Linked DNA regions of Ovis aries. The protein of the gene in region 1 binds, or shares a complex with, the protein of each later gene. Links are inferred from orthologs where the notes say so. Each region holds a gene or a part of one and is shown on either strand. Other genes may lie near its edges. The genes, in order: MICALL1 and EHD1.

What was found.
Region 2: the proteins of MICALL1 (region 1) and EHD1 are in contact, whole or in part, in an NMR structure (PDB 2KSP), measured with the Homo sapiens proteins. The link is inferred for Ovis aries from reciprocal best matches to the Homo sapiens genes MICALL1 and EHD1. Residues at the interface, in NP_203744.1 of Homo sapiens: Lys422, Tyr424, Asn425, Pro426, Phe427, Glu428, Glu429; in NP_001269373.1 of Homo sapiens: Gly464, Ala467, Lys468, Met471, Asn478, Leu481, Gly482, Trp485, Lys486, Lys492, Asp493, Gly494.

Annotation. Positions count from the first base shown.
Region 1 is NC_056056.1:215,564,457-215,568,674, forward strand, and holds the end of MICALL1 (MICAL-like protein 1), read left to right. Parts: intron 1-523; coding exon 524-638; intron 639-811; coding exon 812-858; intron 859-1,857; coding exon 1,858-1,979; 3' UTR 1,980-3,627; downstream 3,628-4,218. UniProt on the Homo sapiens protein: Lipid-binding protein with higher affinity for phosphatidic acid, a lipid enriched in recycling endosome membranes. On endosome membranes, acts as a downstream effector of Rab proteins recruiting cytosolic proteins to regulate membrane tubulation.
Region 2 is NC_056074.1:39,552,869-39,556,667, reverse strand, and holds part of EHD1 (EH domain-containing protein 1), read left to right. Parts: 5' UTR 1-2,708; coding exon 2,709-3,112; intron 3,113-3,799. UniProt on the Homo sapiens protein: ATP- and membrane-binding protein that controls membrane reorganization/tubulation upon ATP hydrolysis. In vitro causes vesiculation of endocytic membranes. Acts in early endocytic membrane fusion and membrane trafficking of recycling endosomes.

The DNA.
Region 1 (4,218 bases):
CCCAACCCCCAGGGTCCATTCTAGTCCCCCCTCCTTCCTGGCATTAGATGGGTGTCCGAGGATGCCTCTTGGGTCACGTTGCTTCTCCTGTATGTGCTCCCTGGGGTTCCCTGGTATCTCCCCACTCCCACCAGCCCGCCATTGGAAACTCTTAGCAGGCCCAGCCCTAATCCTGCCTCCCCCAAGAAACCACCTAGTGAACACTGGTTGCATGAACGCAACCAGGAAAACTGGTTTACATAAACAGGAAGCTCTTTGGGCCATGCTGCTCTCTTTTCGCAGAGCCTGCATTGTACTGGTCCTCTCAGAGCCCCCTGGGAGAGTCTCTTTGGTAGGCAGACTGGTATTCTTGGTCTCTTCTGCAACAACCTCCGTTTCTCCAAAAACTGTAATCCCCACCCATCTGGGCTTCTCCTTGTTCTCATGGTGTCCAGCGTGGGGCTGATTGGCAGTCACCCTTAGCACTTAGGTGTTGGTTCCTTGCTTCCTGGGCCTCATGTCCCCAGCTTTTCTCCTTGAGCAGAAAAGGACTGGACAGAGGAGGACCGGGGCCGAGAGAAGGTGCTGATGCAAGAGCTCGTGACCCTCATCGAGCAGCGCAACGCCATCGTCAACTGCCTGGACGAGGACCGGCAGAGGTGACTTGGCTGGGGACAGGGCTCCCAGGGCTTCCTTGGGGATGAGACCTTCACTGCCAACCATCTCAGCTCCCCCTTGCTCAGCCTGTGTGGACTCAGAGAGTCTGGAGGGGCCTGAGAGATTATCTGGCCCTTCCTCCTGTGGGACACTCAGCTTCCCTGTCTCATTTCAGGGAGGAAGAGGAAGATAAGATGTTGGAAGCCATGATCAAGAAGAAAGGTGAGGCCCCTCCTGGGGCTCTGGCCCGCTTGAACTCCTGCAGGGTGGGGGGGCCGGTTGAACACAGCGTTGGAAGGGGTACCCACAGGGACAGTGTGTGCAAGCCTTTTTTTTGCCAAGAAGGCCATGTGTAGCAAGGCAGGCCAACCTATGGCCAGGAAGATGGGTGTGGAATGCTGTGGTACCAACAGGGAGGGTGGTGGCGTATGGGGCCCTTTCCCAGGGTATGTCTGCCTTGAGCTGTGCATTCCTCCTTGAGATCCGCAGCTGGTTCAGGAGGGGTCTGTGGGTTCAAAGAGCAGTCCCCTAACTCCCGCCCTTGGAGAAGATGAGAGAGCACTGGACTGGGAGTCAGGAGGCCTGGGCCTAATCTTGGTTCCCTCAGTGATTCATTTTGTGGCCTTGCGGTTCCGTCTGGGCTCCAGTTAGACTGGAATCTGGTCCCAGCTCTGATGTGTCCCAGCTGGGTGGCTTTGTGCCAGCGCTTCACCCCTTCAGGCCTCACTCTCCTTGTCTGCAGGATGGGGGTGAACAGAGGCACCCACCTCCCGGGCGGGTACTGAGGATGACTGAGATAACCTGTATAAAGCAGTTAGCCATGGCCTGGCACCCACAAAAAGCTTGGCTGGTGGTAATCTGTTTCAAACTCACATTTTCCTTGTCCATAATAAGTGAGGGACTGGGCCAGATGACTTCTGCGGTTTCTTCTAGCTCTGACAGTCAGTGTTTGTGTTGTGAGCCACAGAGCTGTAGAGGAATAGAGGCTTTTCGAGATAAAACATCAGCCGTGCTCTAGGGCTCCCCCACTGCCTTCGTGTCCCGATGCCTACCGAAATGCTGGGAAGGGGTGGGGTCCCATCCTAGAGGTGCAGAACTGGAGACGCAAAAGGATGAAGGGACATGTCCATGGTTCCAGGCGATGTGGGGGTGGTGGTGGGCTGAGACTGTTGGCTGCCACTCCCTGGCCCGCCCCAATCGACTGCCCTTTCCCTTCTGCAGAGTTCCAGAAGGAGGCTGAGTCCGAGGGCAAGAAGAAGGGCAAGTTCAAGACCATGAAGGTGCTGAAGCTGCTAGGAAACAAGCGTGATACCAAGAGCAAGTGCCCCGGAGACAGGAGCTAACGGTGCAGACTGCCAGCTGGGGACACCACCCCTGCACTGGCTGCGCTCTGCGGGGCGGTGGGGGGAGCTTCTGTGTCCCTTCAGGATCAGTCAAGAGGAAAGATGACTTAGGGGAGGGAGCCTCTGGGTGATGGCCTCTCCCTCCTCAGGGTCTTCTGGCTGGTCTGGGCCAAAGAGTTTTTCTTCCCTCTCCTCTGAGCCCCCCGCCTGGCTCTCCTGACTCCAGATGCTGTGACCGACCCCAGGAGCGAGCAGGGTCTCGTCCCACAAGCCCCTGCCCTTGGTCCCGCTTCACTCCTGTACCTCGTGCGGAGGGGAGCAGAGGGTCTGTCTGCCTATGAGGGTCTGCCCGTGGTGGACCCTCTGGCCTGGGTCTCCTGCCCTCTGGGCAGGTCGGCAAGCCAGACTCGGCCACGCCGGCCCCTTCCCGCTACCTGCCGTCCTGGGTCTGAGTCCCTGTCATCCTGGCAGGGCAGGCAGCCTTGCCTCTCTCTCTCCGCACTCAGGAGCTCTATTTATGAAGTCTCTTAATTAAAGTTGGAGGTAGTTACTGTGTCCTCAAGACCTGAAGGGGCCTCATGGACAGACCCTTCCCTTTGTTCCTCGAAGTCTTAGGAGGTGCTTCCCTCACCTCCCCTCATTCTGCAGGAAGTCTCCCTGCCTGAGACAGGGTGCTGGGGCGGGTGGGGTGCCCGGGAGCTGAGCCCCCCAAGGGTGGGCCTCGGGGGAGGTGGGCGGGCCCCAGACCAGCAGCAGGCAGGCGTGCTGCCTGTAGGTGCTAACCCTGGCCCTCTACCCCACACCATGGCCCTGGCCCCTCCCGTGGGCTCTCGCCACCACCCCAGGGCTGGGGTGCGGCGGACCCGCCCCTGGTGGTCAGCACCAGCCTGTCTCCTCACAGGCGCCTGTTGTCTGTTCCCTCCTGACTCTGTTGCCTCCAAAGGACTGATGGCCGCTCACCCCCTGGGACGGCTGTGGGAGAGGAGGAGCCGATGGGGACCAGCACCTTCACCCCAGGGGACGTGCCCAGCAGCTCTTGGGGCAAAGCACTGTTGCTATAAGCTATTTCCAGGGTGCCTTTAGGGCCCTTCCCTCAGCACACCTCCAGGGAAAGATCACACTGTATTAACTTGAGAGGGTTTTCCTCACTGACAATAAACAGAGACCACCTCAGCTGCCAGTGCCTTGCAGCCCTGGGCCGCCCTCCGCTTACCAGGCCTCCCTTCTTCCCTGCCTCCGCCGTGCCTCTTGGCCGGCATCTCTGCTGGCCCAGGAGGGCGTGGAGGGGCTGTCCACCGCCGGGGGCCCTGGCCCCTCTCTCCCTGCCGCTGGGCAGGACGCCTTCCTCTGCCGGGACCAGTGCTGCCTCCGACCGTCTCCTTGCTGACAGGCCTGTTGGCCTGCCACGGGGGTCACCAGCTCCAGCGCCTTTCGGCTGGGTGAGCCCTGGCTGGGTGCGTCCTGCAGGGCGGCCCCGTCAGGCTGCCTTGGTGTCAGGACACCTGGGTGGCAGGGACTGGGGTGAACTGGGGTAGACACACCGCAACCACAGGGAGAGGTTGTCCCTCACCCAAGTCAACTGTAGCCTGTGGGATGTGGGCCCAATGGGACCAGATCTTTGCATTTTTCAAAAGAAACTGGAAATCCAGTGGAGCGTGTGTGTACTTTGTAAAACTGACTTGAACTGAAATCAAGGGTATGTCCTACCGTGTCAGAGTGGGCTGACTCTGGCCCGGGTTCTCCAGTTCACTGCCTCTGGGCCGCGTGTTGCGGCCTTCAAGGTAGAGGACGGCCGTCCTCCTCAGGTTGCGCCCTGAGCCCTTGGCTTCTTGAGGGACTGTGGACACAGGCTCCCCGTGGAATGTTCCAGAGCCCCAGCCCTTGAGCTGGTCCTCTCTGTTTTGTTTGTGGCTGCAGGACCATGTTGATTCTGCAAACCCCAACTGGGATCATGTGGCCTGAGAGGATTATATGAATCCCTCCAAGTGGGAGGCTTGGTTGAAATTTCTGAAATACTTTGATTTACGGGGACGGGAAAATGACAGGATACTGGAGAGCGTGAGGCCTGTGGTTGTCAGAGTTGTGGGGACTGCTGCATGCTGTGTGCCAGGCCTGGGATGCAACTCCTGTGGGCAGACATCTCAGCCCCCAGGCCTCAGAGGCGAGCTGCTGGAGATGAGGCGGGTGGGCTCAGACGCACGGGCTGGGGGTGGATCTCTGAAGCAGGGCTCCTTCAGTC
Region 2 (3,799 bases), on another chromosome or scaffold:
TCATGGGGCTGAGCAGACTGGTTGGAGGGTAAGCAGCTGACCCCCTTCTGCTAGCTGGGAGCAGAGGAGATTTAGCATCACCCAAGACAGGGTTTGGCAGGGGGTGTATGCGAATTTGAAGGAAGAAACACTGGGAGTGGGGGAATGGCCATCATTTCTGAGCAAAAGGAAAATATTTGAATTCTTCTTTACCCTTTTGTCAGGGAACCAGGCAAAAACAGAAAGTAAAACGGGAGAAACCAAAAGTGAAATGGTTCATTCATGTCTGATGAAACCTTCCCACCAAATAGAAACTAGCCTACAAAAAAATTAAAAAAGGAAAGAAAGTTAGGACATTTTCAGTCTGGGGCATCACTAGATACAGAAGCCGCCCAGGACCCAGGTGGCAACTCAGTGAAACTGGGCAAACTAATTTCCACACACTTGAGCCTCGTAAGGGAGAGAGATCCCTTCTTCCAATCCTTTGAGTCCTTGGAGAAAGTCAAGTGGCCATACATAACCAACAGGGGCTGGTTTCATTTATAAATAACCTGGGAACATTTTGTTTTCCGTTTTTTAGGACTGGGTTTTCCCAGCATACAAGGCTCTAGGGAGACGTGAAAATCATGACAGGTCAGTGTCAGAGCTACTGGGACAAGCTCGGGCACCCTCATCAGGCCATTAGACAACCACCTCTTTCAGGATCCTCCGCCTCAGGCCCTTCCCTGGAACACCCCAGAAGTCGCATCTCCGGGGCGGACCCCTCAAAGTACTATGAAGGAAGCAAGTCCTTTTGGCTTCTAAGGCTGGCCCCGGAAGTCTGGATGGGTGACAGCCCTGCCTAGGAGTCTCAATATCCTCTTTTGAGGAGAAAGCCAGAGTCTCGTGGTTTCTGTGTTTTACTGTGATTGATGAAAAGAATGCTAATGAAGTCCCAAATAAAAGCAGTTAAGTCAGAAAGCTAAGATTGCAGTCAGGGCTGGAATTACTCAGCCGCTCCCTAATGGGGTGAGGTGGGGGGGGGGGGGGGGGAAGGCAATCAATTTAATGTGGTTTATTCCCTCAGAAGACACTGAGACCTGATCCTACAAGGGGTGGGTGAGCAAAACTCCCATCTGGCCCCCTCTGGTTCCCACTTGACTCAGCTCCCCTGATATTCTGCTGATTCTCAGATTTGAGTTCCTGCATCTGTCCTTTTAGCCTGCCAGCCTGCTCTCTTCCCTGATAACAGGTGCCTGATAACAGGCACCCAGCCCTCCAGGTTCCCACATTTCCCAGCAGCCAGAAAGCTGGATGGGGGAGGCCTTCACGCTCCCAGGTGCATTTTAGATCTATCCAGGAGCGCCTCCCTCACCACCACCCCTGCCACTTTGGTGTCCTGGTACCGGTTACATAACAATCAGTCCCCAGAGCTCTGACATCACCCACTGAAGATTCTCACCAGCCTGGACAGCCAAGGGGACCTATGTGTGGCCCGGGATGATGGTGGGGGAATGAGCCTAAGGGAAGAGCCAGGAACTGGTAAGGGGAAGAAGCACAGGTCAGAGTAAAGCATGGTAACTGGTGGTGACCCAGAGAGGAAAGCGGAAGTATTTGGGTTTTTTAATTCCCCCTGGGTTCCCACAAGATTTCACTGTTGCCCCACGTTTCCCCTCCACCCTACATAGGGAATTTCTGATTAACTTCCTCAAAACTTGAAGTGCCAGAGGGCCTAACTTCTTCATCCCACTTCCCCACCCTCAGAAGCAGCCTCTTGAGGGAGGCGGTCTCTTCTCCCTCACGTGTTCTGTCATATGTGTCCTCCACTGCTAGCGTCCAGCTCCCAATTCCTGGCCTGTGGGGAGCTCAGGTCTCTTGCGACGGCTCAGACTTTCTCCACCAGCCTCCTCCCTTCCCATCTTTATTTCCCCAGTCACCACCCCGCCTTGGAGGGTCTACTCTCTCAGCTTTCTCCACTACCTCATTCCTGTCTCTCCCTCTCCCAGAGCAGATAAAAGACGAGGGGATGAGAAGCAGTGTCAGGGAAGCAGGGGCGAGAGGAGGCGGCAAGGAAGGGCAGTGCAGACAGGAGGCGCATGGCACCCGGGGTTCTCCCCTGCTTCTGGGGATTCTGAGTGGGAGGAGGAGGGCCGCCCATTGAGGGAGCTGCGGGTAGGGCGCGTATTCAGGGTACTGGGGTGTCCAACTGTGAATCTCGCGGGGGAGGAAGACGTGCAGACACTGGGACCTCCGCGCGCCGCACTCCGCCCAGTCGCCTTCGCGACCGCAGCACTTCCGCGAGCCGCCCCCGAAGGGGCGGGGCGAAACAGGTGCGGTTGCCACGGCACCCGGGCCAGGGCGGGGGGGGGCGGGGAGCGCAGCGGAGCTAGCGGAGCTCGCGAGATTTGCAATCGGCCAATGAGAGGCGGGGGAGGGGAAGACGTGGCGCGGAGCGCGCGGGCGGGGCTCCTTCTTCCCTCTCCCAGTTCCCTGCGACCCCGAGTGGCGGCGGCGCGCGCGTTCGAACGCGCGGCCGGGCCTTATAAAGAGCGCACGTCTAGGCGCGCGTTCCACTGTGCAGAAGGGCACTCGGCCGGCCGTGCCGTGCGCCTGCGCAGTGCGGGCCGCTCCCCGCCCCCCTGCCCCACCGCCCCTTCAGCCGGCCGGCCCGGCCCAGCCTCGACTCCGCGTCCTCGTCCGGCTCTCAGCCGCCCCTTTGCCCTGCAGCAGCCAGCCCGGTGTCCAGCAGCATGTTCAGCTGGGTCAGCAAGGATGCCCGCCGCAAGAAGGAGCCGGAGCTCTTCCAGACGGTGTCCGAGGGGCTGCGGCAGCTGTACGCGCAGAAGCTGCTGCCCCTGGAGGAGCACTACCGCTTCCACGAGTTCCACTCGCCCGCGCTGGAGGACGCCGACTTCGACAACAAGCCCATGGTGCTCCTCGTGGGCCAGTACAGCACGGGCAAGACCACCTTCATCCGGCACCTGATTGAGCAGGACTTCCCGGGGATGCGCATCGGGCCCGAGCCCACCACCGACTCTTTCATCGCGGTCATGCACGGCCCCACCGAGGGCGTGGTGCCCGGCAACGCGCTCGTCGTCGACCCGCGGCGGCCCTTCCGCAAGCTCAACGCCTTCGGCAACGCCTTCCTCAACAGGTAGCCCCCCCTCGACCCGGGATGTGGGGGAGGGGGCCGCCGGGGTCCCGACAGTCCAGTGACCGCTGCCCACGCTGTTCTTTGTCCGAAACCCCCGCGAGACCCCCTCAGCGACCACTCCCCGGAACTGGGTCCCCTGCCACTTTCCAAAGAAAACCCTTACCAAGGGGGTCTGCGAGTAGGTGTCGCCGGCTTCCGCAGCTCTGTCTCCCTCCGCTCCCCTCCCCCGAATTTCCCAGGTTATCGGTTTAACTCCCAACCCTCGACCCTGGCAGATCCCAGACTCCTCACATCCCTCAGCTAGTCTTGGTTTCCACCTCCTTCACTAAGGCTGGGCGCACCTAATTCATTGAGACCAATCTCCCTCACCCCCTCCCTTCAAGGGTCTGTTTCTTAAGTGTCCTGGAAAAATACAGTGAAACTTTTAGCCATTCACTTTGCTAGTGTGGTGTGCCTCCCTGGAGACTGGTGGTTTGTGGAGGAGGGACAGGGGAGATCTGCTGTGGCCTGCTGAGTTTGGGGCGGCCTGCAGAGGCAGCAGACAGAGGGGAGCACCAGCACTTCTTCTAGGGGCAGCTCTGAAGGGCCTGTGCTGCTGTAAAGGTTTCTGGGGTAAGGGTCTGTGTTGCCAGGCCATGGCCCCTGGAGCCCTGGAATCCCCTGTAAACTCCCTAGGATGTTCCCTAA